Pelodiscus sinensis: one gene and its partner. The protein of the gene in region 1 binds, or shares a complex with, the protein of each later gene. Links are inferred from orthologs where the notes say so. Each region holds a gene or a part of one and is shown on either strand. Other genes may lie near its edges.

Region 1 (7,416 bases):
AAAGAGAACAGTTTTCCGTTATAAGTATTTCCGGAAAAAGCGCATCTACATTGGCAGGATGCTTTTCCAAAAGGGCTTATTTTCTGGAAAATCGCGTCTAGACTGGCGCTTTTCTCCAGCAAAAACCCCGAGCCGGAAAAAAGCGGCAGCCATGTAAATGCAAATGCCGCGGGGGATATTTAAATCCCCCGCGGATTTGCAATTCCGAAGTGTCTCATTAGCATCCCTTTTCCGGAAAAGGATGCCAGTGTAGACACAGCCCCTGGGTAGTGTAGACATACCCCTTGAGAGTAAAGAAGCATCTCTGTATTGTCTGACATCACTGCAAGTTCTACTGACAAATGCACTTAAGTATTTTGCAACTACAGGGGAAATATCCAGATTACCTTCTGTTGCGGACTGAAGGGGATCAAAGTAAACTCATGAGTCTGTAGCAACACACTATTGCAAATAACATTTGTGCACAGAAGTTTGTTTTTATTTGTGAAGTGTCAAATGTTTCACTTAGTGCTCACCTAAAACCTCAAGCTGTCTGTGTCAACAAGCAGGCAAGGTTATGTACCTTTACCCCAAAAAATTCAACCAGCCATTAGTTTTGTTTACTTAAGTACCATGCTATTGCAACACTCTAAACAAGACACAGCTAAACACACAGTGATGTTGAGTAAAAAAGCTGCAGATTGTCAGACAAAATTATACATTTAAACTTGCCCTTTCTGTCACTTAATATAATTAGCAAAATTAAGAAAATGGTATTTGGTTGCAACTCCACTAGGCTGCATTTGAACAAAATTCCTCAAGGTTTCATTTTGTTTCTTGCACAAAATTTGTATGTGTAAACATCTGCCCTCTAGTGGAATAAAATTTGTTGAAACCTTTCAGAGAAATCATTCTCAAGTCTATGTTAGGCTATTCAGATCAAAAGTTGTAAAGTTTACAACACAGGTCATGTGCATCACGCCATGTATAATATGGTATCAGGAAAGTATTTGCTATGTCATCCCTCTTGTTTTCCCTGTCTGGAACAAGACTCAGTTGACAGATACACAGTTGAGCTTTATTGATCGTGTGGGAATTTACGTATTTGCACAACATTGTACAAAAAGTGGGCTCAGTATAAAGGCTGGGATGTGGCGGCAGAGGAGTTTGGTGAATTTTCCAAAGCTGTAGTCAGAAACCTAGATGGGATGTTCCTAGTGCATTGCATTATTCTGCTAGTTTTTCCTCCATTTATGCTTGTTCATTAGACTCCAGAATCTGCTCTTGACACTAGATTGTTTCTTTGGAAATCTTATGTAAGTGCCAAGCATTGTTTTTTTCAGAAATATTTAACATTAACTTGCAAAAAGAAATTGGGTTTTGCTCCCAATGATGTACAAAGTAAATGTTTTATTAATTTAAAAAATGGAAGAATACGAACAAGGAACTGGAGAGAGAACTAGAAATTCAGATATCCTCTACCCTGGAAGTCTCACGTGACTGCAGGCTAGTAAAATTTACCTCACTAAAGAGTGAAAGCTGAGCAACTGGGGATGGAAGTTTTAGATAGACACATTTTTGCTGTGGCCTAAGAATTCAGTTATGTCATGTTGGTCACCAATATCCTAGAACATGTGAATTTTGCCATTTATATGGACCATGTTGCCATCATTAGCTGGCTTTGATGTAGTTGTTTCAAAAAGGTGACTCATAGTATGTAATTTTGTCATCGTATTTTTTAACATCAGTGTGTCATGACTATACAATTGTATTGACAAAACCATATGCACACTGATTCTCTATTATTATGCCGACCGTATTTCTTGATTTCAAACATTCTGTCCCATTCTCCCCATAAACCATCGAAATGTCCCAGAATTTCAAATATTTTGGCAAATATTTTGGAAGGGCTGGGGAGAGAGCCTCGAGACTCCCCACTGGATCCGGCTTGTGGGGAAGAAGCACAGCTAGTAGCGGCTCCATGTGCTGCCACTTTCCCTCCCCTTCCCAGGGGAACAGGAACGCATCCCACTGCTCCGGAATCTGGCCCATAACAGCAGCGGGAGATGGGGCATGGTGTTAGTAGCCCCTCGTGCCCAGACCCCGCAACCCCAGCCCGCTTGCTGGTCGCTTTCCTGGAGACCCCACTCCCCTAGCCTGTGCAGACCCTGGGCCCCCAGGCTGCTCACTCTCCACCCACACCCTGGGCCCCCAGCCTGCTCACTCTCCACCCACACCCTGTGCCCCCAGCCTGCTCACTCTCCACCCACACCCTGGGCCCCCAGCCTGCTCACTCTCCTCCCACACCCTGGGCCCCCAGCCTGCTCACTCTCCTCCCACACCCTGGGCCCCCAGCCTGCTCACTCTCCTCCCACACCCTGGGCCCCCAGCCTGCTCACTCTCCTCCCACACCCTGGGCCCCCAGCCTGCTCACTCTCCACCCACACCCTGGGCCCCCAGCCTGCTCACTCTCCACCCACACCCTGTGCCCCCAGCCTGCTCACTCTCCACCCACACCCTGTGCCCCCAGCCTGCTCACTCTCCACCCCACACCCTGTGCCCCCAGCCTGCTCACTCTCCACCCCACACCCTGTGCCCCCAGCCTGCTCACTCTCCTCCCACACCCTGTGCCCCCAGCCTGCTCACTCTCCACCCCACACCCTGTGCCCCCAGCCTGCTCACTCTCCTCCCACACCCTGTGCCCCCAGCCTGCTCACTCTCCACCCACACCCTGGGCCCCCAGCCTGCTCACTCTCCACCCACACCCTGTGCCCCCAGCCTGCTCACTCTCCTCCCACACCCTGTGCCCCCAGCCTGCTCACTCTCCACCCCACACCCTGTGCCCCCAGCCTGCTCACTCTCCTCCCACACCCTGTGCCCCCAGCCTGCTCACTCTCCTCCCACACCCTGTGCCCCCAGCCTGCTCACTCTCCTCCCACACCCTGGGCCCCCAGCCTGCTCACTCTCCACCCACACCCTGGGCCCCCAGCCTGCTCACTCTCCTCCCACACCCTGGGCCCCCAGCCTGCTCACTCTCCACCCCACACCCTGTGCCCCCAGCCTGCTCACTCTCCACCCACACCCTGTGCCCCCAGCCTGCTCACTCTCCTCCCACACCCTGGGCCCCCAGCCTGCTCACTCTCCACCCCACACCCTGTGCCCCCAGCCTGCTCACTCTCCACCCACACCCTGTGCCCCCAGCCTGCTCACTCTCCTCCCACACCCTGGGCCCCCAGCCTGCTCACTCTCCACCCCACACCCTGGGCCCCCAGCCTGCTCACTCTCCACCCCACACCCTGGGCCCCCAGCCTGCTCACTCTCCACCCCACACCCTGGGCCCCCAGCCTGCTCACTCTCCTCCCACACCCTGGGCCCCCAGCCTGCTCACTCTCCACCCCACACCCTGGGCCCCCAGCCTGCTCACTCTCCACCCCACACCCTGGGCCCCCAGCCTGCTCACTCTCCTCCCACACCCTGGGCCCCCAGCCTGCTCACTCTCCTCCCACACCCTGGGCCCCCAGCCTGCTCACTCTCCTCCCACACCCTGGGCCCCCAGCCTGCTCACTCTCCACCCCACACCCTGTGCCCCCAGCCTGCTCACTCTCCTCCCACACCCTGGGCCCCCAGCCTGCTCACTCTCCACCCCACACCCTGGGCCCCCAGCCTGCTCACTCTCCTCCCACACCCTGGGCCCCCAGCCTGCTCACTCTCCACCCCACACCCTGGGCCCCCAGCCTGCTCACTCTCCTCCCACACCCTGGGCCCCCAGCCTGCTCACTCTCCACCCCACATCCTGTGCCCCCAGCCTGCTCACTCTCCACCCCACATCCTGTGCCCCCAGCCTGCTCACTCTCCACCCCACACCCTGGGCCCCCAGCCTGCTCACTCTCCACCCCACACCCTGTGCCCCCAGCCTGCTCACAAATCAGAAAAAAAAATCCTGTGTCAGATCACGTGTCCTGATTTTTGGTTTGGAAAGTAGGGTCACTCTGTGCCCTGGTCCTGCGCTCACAGGGGGCACCGCTTGGCTTTGTTAAGATGGGAGGTGGCTGCAGGTGAGCTCACAATTCACCTCTGCTCAGCCCCTCCAGCGCAGCCAGGCTGCACGCCCCGCCTCGTGCTACAGTGAATAGGAAGAGGCCACGTTCCAGTCAGAGGGGAGCAAACGCAGCTGAACAAGTCCCACCAGAGCCATCTACCCCCCCCCCCCCCCATCATCTCTTGGCCCCGCCCAGCGCTGCGTGACGCCACCGCGAAGCTGCGCTGCGGGCACTGGCCCGCCCAGGCTGCCGTCTCGCTCGGTGGGCGGGGCTGACGGAAGCCGGCCCGGGCAGAAGGGCCTGTGTGTAGCAGGCAGCGGCGGGGCCTGGCCCGTGTCTCTCCGCCCGCCCTCCCCGCATCCATGGCGGCGGCGATGATGGCGGAGCAGGAGGCCGCCAAGGGCGGCGGCGGGCGGAACCGGGGTGGGGTGCAGCGGGTGGAAGGGAAGCTCCGCGCCAGCGTGGAGAAGGGCGAATACTACGAGGCGCACCAGATGTACCGGACTCTCTTCTTCAGGTACAGCCCGGCCACCCTTCCCTCTGGCCCCTTCCAGAGCCTTCCGAGCGCGCACACTAGCCTGCTGCCTGCGCGCCCGGCCCGTGCGATTGGCCGCGCGGCTTGTCCGTCTCATGCGTTCGCCCGCTGATTGGACGAGAACGGGGAGGCGCTCGCCGTGCAGGGCAGCGTGAAGTGCGTAGGGGGGGAGGCGGCTTGCAGGGGAAGGGGGTAGAATTCTCTCTACGCGCCCCCCCCCCAGGTGTCCGGCCTTCCCCCCCCCTTCGAGAGCGCCGAGGGGAGCTGCAGAGGCAGAGCGAAGGGGGCGGGGCCGGGGGCTCTTGGCGGGGGGGGGGGTTAGTGAGGGGGGGGCCTCCCCAAAGACAGATGTTAATAGGGGGAGGCCGGCGTCTGTTGCCTTGGGACTCCCTGGCCAGCAGGTCTGGAGACTGGCCCCCCGTTTTGTCACCCACACGGGGCCGCGGCCACCCGCGGAGGCTGGGGGCTGGGAGCTGACGATCGGGGTCGCGCTCCACCCCAGAGCGAGTGGCCTGGGAGGGGAGGCAGCGGACGTAAGATCACGGTTTAAAGGTTAACAGGCCAGGGGCTGTTCCCCCCCCCCCCCCCCACCCACCCCGGCCAGGCTGCAGTGGACCCCCGCCTGCAGCATGGTGGCCCCGGCCGAGCTGGAGCAGCCGGTTAAGGGGTTACCCTGGTAAACATGCTAGGAAGGCTGCTTAGCAGGTGATCAGTTAACTCCGTACATCCCTTCTTGCCTAGCTCTTCACCACCAGTCAGATGTGGCATCATGGGGGCTGGATGCCTTGTGGAAGGGCCCCCTACTCCCATGGGGCCCTCAATTTCTCCCATGTTTGTATTCTACTGCTGTGTTAGACTGTCATCTTGCACTTCTAGAGAGCCCCATGCAGTCTCAACAGAAATTGGGCCCAAAAGCAGATGCCTCATTTTCTCATTCTTTTCTGGCTGTTTAGCGTTGCATATAGGCTTGCCTTGGAGCAAGCAGGATTGGAGAAGATTCCTTGCTTATTTTTTCTACCCTGTTCCCCACTGCACCTTCGTATGCCAATTTGCTCCAGCAACTTGGCATCCTAAGGCCAGTCCTATCGGAAGGGGGTCTCCACTCTTTCTTTAACCAATAGAAAGAGAGGTGATGTTGCACCTTTTCTATTAAGCAGCAGAGGGGTAGCCGTGTTAGTCTGAATCTGCAAAAGCGGCGAGGAGTCCTGTGGCACCTTATAGACTAACTGAAGTGTAGGAGCATAAGCTTTCCTGGGCAAAGACCCACTTCGTCAGATGCACCTGATGAAGTGAGTCTTTGCCCACGAAAGCTTATGCTCCTACACTTCAGTTAGTCTATAAGGTGCCACAGGACTCCTCGCCACTTTTCTATTAAGAAAATCATAAATGGATGTTACATTATCCCTCTTCCACCTTGTCAGTTTCTTCCATTCCTTTCAGGGATACTTAAAGTTAAAAGGATGAGGTTATATTTTCAGAAGGATTAAAGAATGTGAGTCCATGAGGAGTAGTTTCTTGTCAGATTTCAGAGAGGTAGTTGAATTAGTTTGTTTCAGTAAAAACAACAAAATCTGGTGACACCTTAAAGACTAACCAATTTATTAGGATATTGGAGCATATGCTTTTGTAAGCTATAACTCATTTCCTCAGATGCAGAAGAGAAAGACAGGAAAAAAGTTATTTCAAGGTTAACTATATTAAAACAAGCTGCTGAAGGACTTAATTGACATTTGTAAAGGACTTTGACATCCCCAGATAGAAGAATAGTAGGACAGAGTGTTTATTATTATTGTGATTGAATTAGTAGTTCTTCAATAAACCTCATGCTAGATAAAGAAGTTAGCATCTGGTAGTTACAGATATTCTTAGTAGCTGTAAACTTTTTTTGTGTCCTTTGCTCCAAAATGTTCTCCTTTTCAATCATATTATTGATATGTACAGTGTGCAGATTTAGTCAAATCTGCTTTTTAGGGCTGTCATAAAATTACAACTTGAATTTAAGAAACAAAAAAAAACTTTGATCAAATGTTTCATTAAAGTACACTCAAATCTTCCATTTGAAGAGTAAGAATTTAAAATGTGCCTTAAAATGCATCTGTAGTGAGAGAGTCTCTCTATACAGATCTGCTTTTAATCTCTAATCAGATGTAATTCTAGTTTGTGGGTGTCTGGATTCTTGTGACATTGATGGATTATCAAGCAGAACTTGATTTGAGGACTCTTTAAAATATATTGATATCTCACCATGTTTAGTGAACTTAGGAATTTTTTGGTTAAAGTGGACACCTCCACATTTTGTGTCTATTGGGATGCAAAAAGTTAATTGTGAGCATGACCCTAATGGGTGGTGCTTATTAGTTCCAGTTAACTGGTGGGTGCTGGAGCAGCTCCTGATCCTTTGGTCAGGCTGGAGCAGCCCCTCCTGCCCATTCTCATTAAACAGTTAACCTATTAAACAGGGTTTTACGTTCCAATTGCCTACTAATGAGTAACATAACAGGTCTGCTTTATGGTGCAGTACTTGTACTATATTACTACTTTAAGTACATGGCAGTTATAATATTGAATTGTCATCTACTGTGTAAAACTTTATTTTTAAACTCTTTTTTGCATTTAATATTAGTTTGTGAAGGAGTCTAGATACATCCCTACTGAGACGTAAGTGACTAGTCACTATCCAATAAGCAAAAGCTTATCAGATAGTCAACTAGTCCCACAACTAGTCGCTTCTTCCCCCATCTTGCTGCCTTTATCAGAGGGAGCAAGGAGGGAGGGGAACCAGGAGACAGTGCGGCCATCTCCATGGGAGACGGGGGAGCAACGGGGACCAGATGGGAGCCAGAAATCAGCTGATTCCCAGCT
Region 2 (7,723 bases), on another chromosome or scaffold:
GTGAAAACACTCCATCAACTGACTGAGCCCCCTTGCAAGTGATACCAGCTAATATGGCCCCCTGACTCAATCTGCACAGTGAGGCTGCTGGTTTCCAGCCTTCATCAGAGACCTCTCTATGTGCAGCAGCAGGCAAAATGCAAACAATGTTGGGAATCAAAGAGATAGCTAGTACGACAGTGTCTCTCTGGCAATCCATGGTAGGCCTACATCTAAGATACTGTGTGCAGCTGGGGTCACCCTTGGAATTGTAAAAGTTTTTTAAAAAGCAACAGAAATGATCAGGGCTTGCCAAGCCGCGGCGAGCTCCGCTCGCTAGCTGCGCATGTGCAGACCGCTGTGCATGCACTGATTGTGCTGTGGCACCGTGCCAGGCTATAATCTGTTCGCCCATGGCGAGTAGATTACCTAAATTGTCAAACCCTGGAAATTATTAGGGTTTGGAGCAGCTTCTGTAGGAGAGATCAAAAAAGACTGGGACTTCTGCACGTGGAAAAGACGCAACTAAGGGGGAGGAGATATGCTAGAGGTCTATAAAATCATGACTGGTGTGGAGACAGTAAATATGGAATTGTTACATGCCTCTTCATAGCAGAAGAACTAGGTGTCACCAAATAATAGGTGGCAGGTTTAAAGCAAGAAGTTTTTCCATACACAACACACAATGAACATGTGTAACTCCTTGCCAAAAGATGTCGTGGAGGCCAAAACTAAGGCAGGGTTCAATAAAGAGCTAGACGAGTTCATGGAGGCAGGTCCATCAATGGCTGTTAGCCAGGGGAGTAGGAAGGGTCTCCCTAGCCTCTTTCAGAAGCCGGGGATGGGTCACTAGATGATTCTCTGTTCAGTTCATTTATTCTGGGACAGTGGTTCCAACTGTGCTCCTGGAGTCGCTAGCTAGAAGGCTGGTTTTCTAGCCCTTGGTCATTTGCAGGGCTCTTCTCTGAGCCTTCTGCCTTTGGACACCATCACTCTGTCCCCCGGCTGTGCTCGCTCACCTAAGCAAGAGCCTTGTAGAGTCTGGGGCTTGGTCCTCGTGGGGGCAGCCTGGGTGGGGCCAGTGTGTTGAGACGAGTCCAAAACTCCGGGATGCTCCGCCATTGATTCACCAGGCCTCTCCACTCTCAGGCTTTGATCCTCCTGCTCGTACTGCCTCCGGGGCCCTTGGTGGCTCCCCTGCTGGGGACCCTCCTGGACACAGGGCGATGCCTGGCGGGCCAAAGACCCCTCGCGCTGCACCCCCCCCCCCATGGGGCTGAGCCAGGAGACCAGCCTCCCCCCGGCCAGTGTAGTGGGAGAAAAGGCACATGGTGGGGGGGGGGGGGCTGAGCCCTGCCAATCACAGGGCGGGGGCCCCTGAGCCTGGCCAATCACAGGGCGGGGGCCCCTGAGCCCTGCCAATCTCAGGGCAGGGGGCCCCTGAGCCTGGCCAATACAGGGCGGGGGGGCCTCTGAGCCCTGCCAATCACAGGGCGGGGGCCCCTGAGCCTGGCCAATCACATGGCGGGGGCCCCTGAGCCCCGCCAGTCACAGGGCGGGGGCCCCTGAGCCTAGCCAATCACAGGGCGGGGGCCCCTGAGCCCTGCCAATCACAGGGCGGGGGCCCCTGAGCTCCGCCAATCACATGGCGGGGGCCCCTCAGCCCTGCCAATCACAGGGCGGGGGGCCCCTGAGCCTGGCCAATCACATGGCGGGGGCCCCTGAGCCCCGCCAATCACAGGGCGGGGGTCCCCTGAGCCTGGCCAATCACAGGGCGGGGGCCCCTGAGCCCCGCCAATCACAGGGCGGGGCTCGCTGCTATGGGGGCGTTAAGGAAGCGCCAGGAGCCGCTAATGAGCAGCCACGTGCCCCATCTTAACCAATCAGCGCCCCGGATTCTCTGAGCCCCGCCCTATCTGCCCTCCGTCCCCTAACTGCCCCACGCGCGCGCACACCGCAGGATTCCAGCCAGCCAGCGGACAGCGAGCCCCGCCCTCTCAGGTGCGCGCTCTTCCGGTCCCAGGCACCGCCCTCTAGGGGGCGCGCTTCGGCACTTCCGTGGTGGGCTAGACCTTAGTGAGGTCATGCCCGTGGGGCGGGACCACCCCTGTGACGTGAACGTGGGGCGGGGCCGAAGGAAGCCGGACGCAGCCGAGTCAAGACTGGTCCGCGGGTCGGTGTCAGGTGTGGGCCGGGGCGGGGGGGCTCTCTGGCTGCAGGGGGAGGGAGCATCCCCCGCCCCGTAAACTCCCCCCTCACCTCACAGCCCCGCCCCGCCTCACAACCCCTCCCTGCGTCCCATAACTCCACACCCCTGCCCCCTCCCCACCCCATAGCTCTGCACATTGCCCCCTGCCCCACAGCGTGGGTCCACACTCCCCCTCCCCCCAGTTCTCTGGTGGGGGGTGGCATCCAACCCTGCCACCTCCAGCCTGGGCTCCTCTTCTCACCTCTGCCCCTCCACTCCCACAGGCACCAGAGCATCCAGACCTGCACCTGCTGGCCGGGAACGTCCCGATGTGCCGGACCTGGAGGAGGCCAGATGCCCATGAGCCGTGAGTGCTCCGGCATGGCTCAAGCCCTGGCACTGCTGCTGCTGGGGCTGGGCCGCTGGACCTGGGCCAGCTGGGGGCAGCCAGCTGGCAGGTACCTGAGTGTGGGTGATGGCAGTGCCCTGGAGTTTGACTTCCCTGAGAGGAGCCGGGGTGTCATGGTCGTGTCCAGCCGGTACTTGGGCACCAATGGGACAGCAAGTGGTGCCCGGCTCAGTGCGGCCTCATTGGCACCTGCGGTGCTGACTGTGGAGAACGTGAGTGCTTTGTGCTGTGGAGCAGGCGGTTTCCTGGTGGCCATCCGCTCAGGCCCAGCTGGGCTGGCACCACTTCGGCTGCGCCTGCTGGACCAGCATCAGCTGGTGGAGGAGCGGGGCGAGTTCCGGGTGCGGGTGATGGCGAGTGAGGAGCCAGGGCACCCAGGCCTGGGCCACTTCTCAGAGAACCCGTTGCTTTATGCTCTGCTGCCCCTCATCTTTGTCAACAAGTGTGCCTTCGGCTGCAAGGTGGAGCTGGAGGCGCTGCGGGAGCTGGCGCGCCAGCCACAGCCCGTGCTCCTGGGCATTGTGGGCCAGTTTATTGCTATGCCACTCTATGGCTACCTCCTCTCGCTGGCCTTTGCCCTCCCCCCGGCGCTGGCACTGGGGCTGGTTGTCACCTGCTCCTCACCAGGTGGGGGTGGTGGCTACCTCTACAGCCTGCTGCTGGGTGGCAACGTGACCCTGGCGATTGCCATGACACTGCTGTCCACTGTGGCAGCCGCTGGGCTCATGCCGCTCTCCTCGGCCCTTTATGGGCGCCTGCTGAGTGCCCACCCCAGCCTGCACGTGCCCTTCGCCAAGATCGTGGGCACACTGCTCTTCATTGCGGTGCCCATATCGGCTGGGCTGCTGGTGAAGTGGAAGCTGCCCCGCGTGGCCCGCCTGCTGCTGCTGCTCATCAAACCCTTCAGTTTTGCCCTCATCCTGGGTGGACTCCTCCTGGCCTACCACATGGGAGCCGTCATCCTGGCTGAGGTGGAGCCCCCAGTGGTGCTGGCCGGGCTCACCGTGCCCCTCGTTGGCCTGGGGCTGGGTTACCTCTTGGCTGCCTGCCTGCGGTTGCCAGGCCCACACTGCCGCACAGTCAGCATTGAGGTGGGAGTGCAGAACAGCTTGCTGGCACTGGCTGTGCTGCAGTTATCTTTCCGCCGTCGCCAGGCTGACTATGCCTCCCAGGCCCCCTTCGTGGTGGCCCTGAGCAGCACGGCTGAGATGCTGGTGCTAGTGCTGGCCCATCTCCTCTACAAGAAGCTGCAGCCATCTGCCAGTCCCTGAGTGCCCCATCTGTGAGAAGGAATGGGTCCTGCTGGGGGCTGGGCAGCCCTAAGCACTGAGTGCCCCTCTACTGCAGGGCTGGGCTGCCCTAGGAGCTGAGCACCCTGCTGTTGGGGGGCAGAGACAGGCAGATTCAGGGACCTGCTGTACAAGGGGCTCACCCCAGGGGCCCCTCCCAGTGGGGGCAGTAGGAAACCAAAGTCTCATGTTGGGCCCCTGAACACCCAGCCTCATTTTATACTGTGTTTTCTGTGTGGCTGGCAATGGTCCTCAGGGAGGGGGCCACACAGGCTGTTAAGGGAGGGGAAGGGGCCAATAAAGGAGAAAGAGCAAGTTTGTGCATGGAGCTGTTATTGGTGGAGGCTCAACGCTGGTGCCATTCACAGCCAGCTTGGGGGCGGAGTCGGGGGCTGGGGGCGGGGCCAGTGGGAGGTCCCGGCTCTGGGGGCGCCTCTCTCTACTTGGCCGCTCTCCCCTCCCCCCGCAGAATAGACTCTATGGTGCTGGGGCCAGGCCAGAATAGTCGCGAGTGCGGCGGGGAGGGAATGTCCGCTCTATCCGCGCTGCGTTTGGATCTCTATGGTACAACAGGGACACTCTAGCCCTGCGCCCGCCGCGGCTCCAGTCTAGGCTACAGGAGCCAATGTTCGGGCCCGAGACTCTATGGTACGAGCCGCGGCGCACTATGGCCCCGGCCACTCTAGGCTCCAAGGCACTGACACTCTATGACACGTGACGCTCTACGCGCCTCTTCCGGCTCTATGGTTCCGTGGCGGTCGCTCTAAGCCCGCTTCCCTCCGGGCGTCTATGGTGCCGTTAAAGGGGCCGCTCCGGGCTGCGCGATGCTGCTCACGGTGAAGGCGCTTCAGGGCCGGGGATGCAGCCTCCAGGTGGGGGGGGCTGTCGGGGGGCGGGTTTGCGGGGGGGTGTCGGGGGGCGGGAGAGGAGGGTTTGCGGGGGGGGGGGTGTCAGGGATCGGGAGAGGAGAGTTTTGGGGAGGTGTGGGGGAGGCAGGAGAGGAGGGTTTGCGGGGGAGTGTCGGGGGCCGGAGGGGGAGGGTTTTAGGGGGGTGTCGGGGAGGCAGGAGAGGAGTGTTTGCGGGGGAGTGTCGGGGAGGCAGGAGAGGAGTGTTTGCGGGGGAGTGTCGGGGGCCGGAGGGGGAGGGTTTTAGGGGGGTGTCGGGGAGGCAGGAGAGGAGTGTTTGCGGGGGAGTGTCGGGGGCGGGAGGGGGAGGGTTTTAGGGGGGTGTCGGGGAGGCAGGAGAGGAGGGTTTGCAGGGGGGTGTCGGGGAGGCAGGAGAGGAGTGTTTGCGGGGGATTGTCGGGGGCCGGAGGGGGAGGGTTTTAGGGGGGTGTCGGGGAGGCAGGAGAGGAGTGTTTGCGGGGGAGTGTCGGGGGCCGGAGGGGGAGGGTTTTAGGGGGATGTCGGGGAGGCAGGAGAGGAGTGTTTGCGGGGGAGTATCGGGGGCCGGAGGGGGAGGGTTTTGGGGAGGTGTCGGGGAGGCAGGAGAGGAGGGTTTGCAGGGGGGTGTCGGGGAGGCAGGAGAGGAGGGTTTGCGGGGGAGTGTCGGGGGCCGGAGGGGGAGGGTTTTGGGGAGGTGTCGGGGGCAGGAGAGGAGGGTTTGCGGGGGAGTGTCGGGGGCCGGAGGGGGAGGGTTTTGGGGAGGTGTCGGGGGCAGGAGAGGAGGGTTTGCGGGGGAGTGTCGGGGGCCGGAGGGGGAGGGTTTTGGGGAGGTGTCGGGGAGGCAAGAGAGGAGGGTTTGCGGGGGAGTGTCGGGGAGGCAGGAGAGGAGGGTTTGCGGGGGAGTGTCGGGGGCCGGAGGGGGAGGGTTTTGGGGAGGTGTCGGGGGCTGGAGAGGAGGGTTTTGGGGAGGTGTCGGGGAGGCAGGAGAGGAGGGTTTGCAATGGAGTGTCTGGGAGGCAGGAGAGGAGTGTTTGCGGGGGAGTGTCGGGGAGGCAGGAGAGGAGTGTTTGCGGGGGAGTGTCGGGGGCCGGAGGGGGAGGGTTTGCAGGGGGTTGTCGGGGAGGCAGGAGAGGAGGGTTTGCGGGGGAGTGTCAGGGGCCGGAGGGGGAGGGTTTTAGGGGGGTGTCGGGGAGGCAGGAGAGGAGTGTTTGCGGGGGAGTGTCGGGGGCCGGAGGGGGAGGGTTTTAGGGGGGTGTCGGGGAGGCAGGAGAGGAGTGTTTGCGGGGGAGTGTCGGGGGCCGGAGGGGGAGGGTTTTAGGGGGGTGTCGGGGAGGCAGGAGAGGAGGGTTTGCAGGGGGGTGTCGGGGAGGCAGGAGAGGAGTGTTTGCGGGGGATTGTCGGGGGCCGGAGGGGGAGGGTTTTAGGGGGGTGTCGGGGAGGCAGGAGAGGAGTGTTTGCGGGGGAGTGTCGGGGGCCGGAGGGGGAGGGTTTTAGGGGGATGTCGGGGAGGCAGGAGAGGAGTGTTTGCGGGGGAGTATCGGGGGCCGGAGGGGGAGGGTTTTGGGGAGGTGTCGGGGAGGCAGGAGAGGAGGGTTTGCAGGGGGGTGTCGGGGAGGCAGGAGAGGAGGGTTTGCGGGGGAGTGTCGGGGGCCGGAGGGGGAGGGTTTTGGGGAGGTGTCGGGGGCAGGAGAGGAGGGTTTGCGGGGGAGTGTCGGGGGCCGGAGGGGGAGGGTTTTGGGGAGGTGTCGGGGGCAGGAGAGGAGGGTTTGCGGGGGAGTGTCGGGGGCCGGAGGGGGAGGGTTTTGGGGAGGTGTCGGGGAGGCAAGAGAGGAGTGTTTGCGGGGGAGTGTCGGGGAGGCAGGAGAGGAGTGTTTGCGGGGGATTGTCGGGGGCCGGAGGGGGAGGGTTTTGGGGAGGTGTCGGGGAGGCAGGAGAGGAGTGTTTGCGGGGGAGTGTCGGGGGCCGGAGGGGGAGGGTTTTGGGGAGGTGTCGGGGAGGCAGGAGAGGAGGGTTTGCGGGGGGGTGTCGGGGAGGCAGGAGAGGAGTGTTTGCGGGGGAGTGTCGGGGGCGGGAGGGGGAGGGTTTTGGGGAGGTGTCGGGGAGCCAGGAGAGGAGGGTTTGCAGGGGGGTGTCGGGGAGGCAGGAGAGGAGTGTTTGCGGGGGAGTGTCGGGGGCCGGAGGGGGAGGGTTTTAGGGGGGTGTCGGGGAGGCAGGAGAGGAGTGTTTGCGGGGGAGTGTCGGGGGCCGTAGGGGGAGGGTTTTAGGGGGGTGTCGGGGAGGCAGGAGAGGAGTGTTTGTGGGGGAGTGTCGGGGGCCGGAGGGGGAGGGTTTTAGGGGGGTGTCGGGGAGGCAGGAGAGGAGTGTTTGCGGGGGAGTGTCGGGGGCCGGAGGGGGAGGGTTTTGGGGAGGTGTCGGGGAGGCAGGAGAGGAGGGTTTGCGGGGGAGTGTCGGGGGCCGGAGGGGGAGGGTTTTGGGGAGGCGTCGGGGGCAGGAGAGGAGGGTTTGCGGGGGAGTGTCGGGGGCCGGAGGGGGAGGGTTTTGGAGAGGTGTCGGGGAGGCAAGAGAGGAGGGTTTGCGGGGGAGTGTCGGGGAGGCAGGAGAGGAGGGTTTGCGGGGGAGTGTCGGGGGCCGGAGGGGGAGGGTTTTGGGGAGGTGTCGGGGGCTGGAGAGGAGGGTTTTGGGGAGGTGTCGGGGGCCGGAGGGGGAGGGTTTTGGGGAGGTGTCGGGGGCAGGAGAGGAGGGTTTGCGGGGGAGTGTCGGGGGCCGGAGGGGGAGGGTTTTGGGGAGGTGTCGGGGAGGCAAGAGAGGAGGGTTTGCGGGGGAGTGTCGGGGGCCGGAGGGGGAGGGTTTTGGGGAGGTGTCGGGGGCTGGAGAGGAGGGTTTTGGGGAGGTGTCGGGGAGGCAGGAGAGGAGGGTTTGCAATGGAGTGTCTGGGAGGCAGGAGAGGAGTGTTTGCGGGGGAGTGTCGGGGAG

The links.
Region 2: GET4 (region 1) and UBL4A share a complex: the UniProt entries of both Homo sapiens proteins name them as parts of the BAG6/BAT3 complex. The link is inferred for Pelodiscus sinensis from reciprocal best matches to the Homo sapiens genes GET4 and UBL4A.

What each region holds. Positions count from the first base shown.
Region 1 is NC_134726.1:26,321,141-26,328,556, forward strand, and holds the start of GET4 (Golgi to ER traffic protein 4 homolog), read left to right. Parts: upstream 1-4,262; 5' UTR 4,263-4,381; coding exon 4,382-4,536; intron 4,537-5,221; exon of another isoform or gene 5,222-5,236; coding exon of another isoform or gene 5,237-5,259; intron 5,260-7,416. UniProt on the Homo sapiens protein: As part of a cytosolic protein quality control complex, the BAG6/BAT3 complex, maintains misfolded and hydrophobic patches-containing proteins in a soluble state and participates in their proper delivery to the endoplasmic reticulum or alternatively can promote their sorting to the proteasome where they undergo degradation.
Region 2 is NW_027465910.1:143,924-151,646, reverse strand, and holds the start of UBL4A (ubiquitin-like protein 4A), read left to right. Parts: upstream 1-4,580; 5' UTR 4,581-4,689; coding exon 4,690-4,737; intron 4,738-7,723. Other genes in the region: SLC10A3 (P3 protein), read left to right, coding at 2,549-3,847. UniProt on the Homo sapiens protein: As part of a cytosolic protein quality control complex, the BAG6/BAT3 complex, maintains misfolded and hydrophobic patches-containing proteins in a soluble state and participates in their proper delivery to the endoplasmic reticulum or alternatively can promote their sorting to the proteasome where they undergo degradation.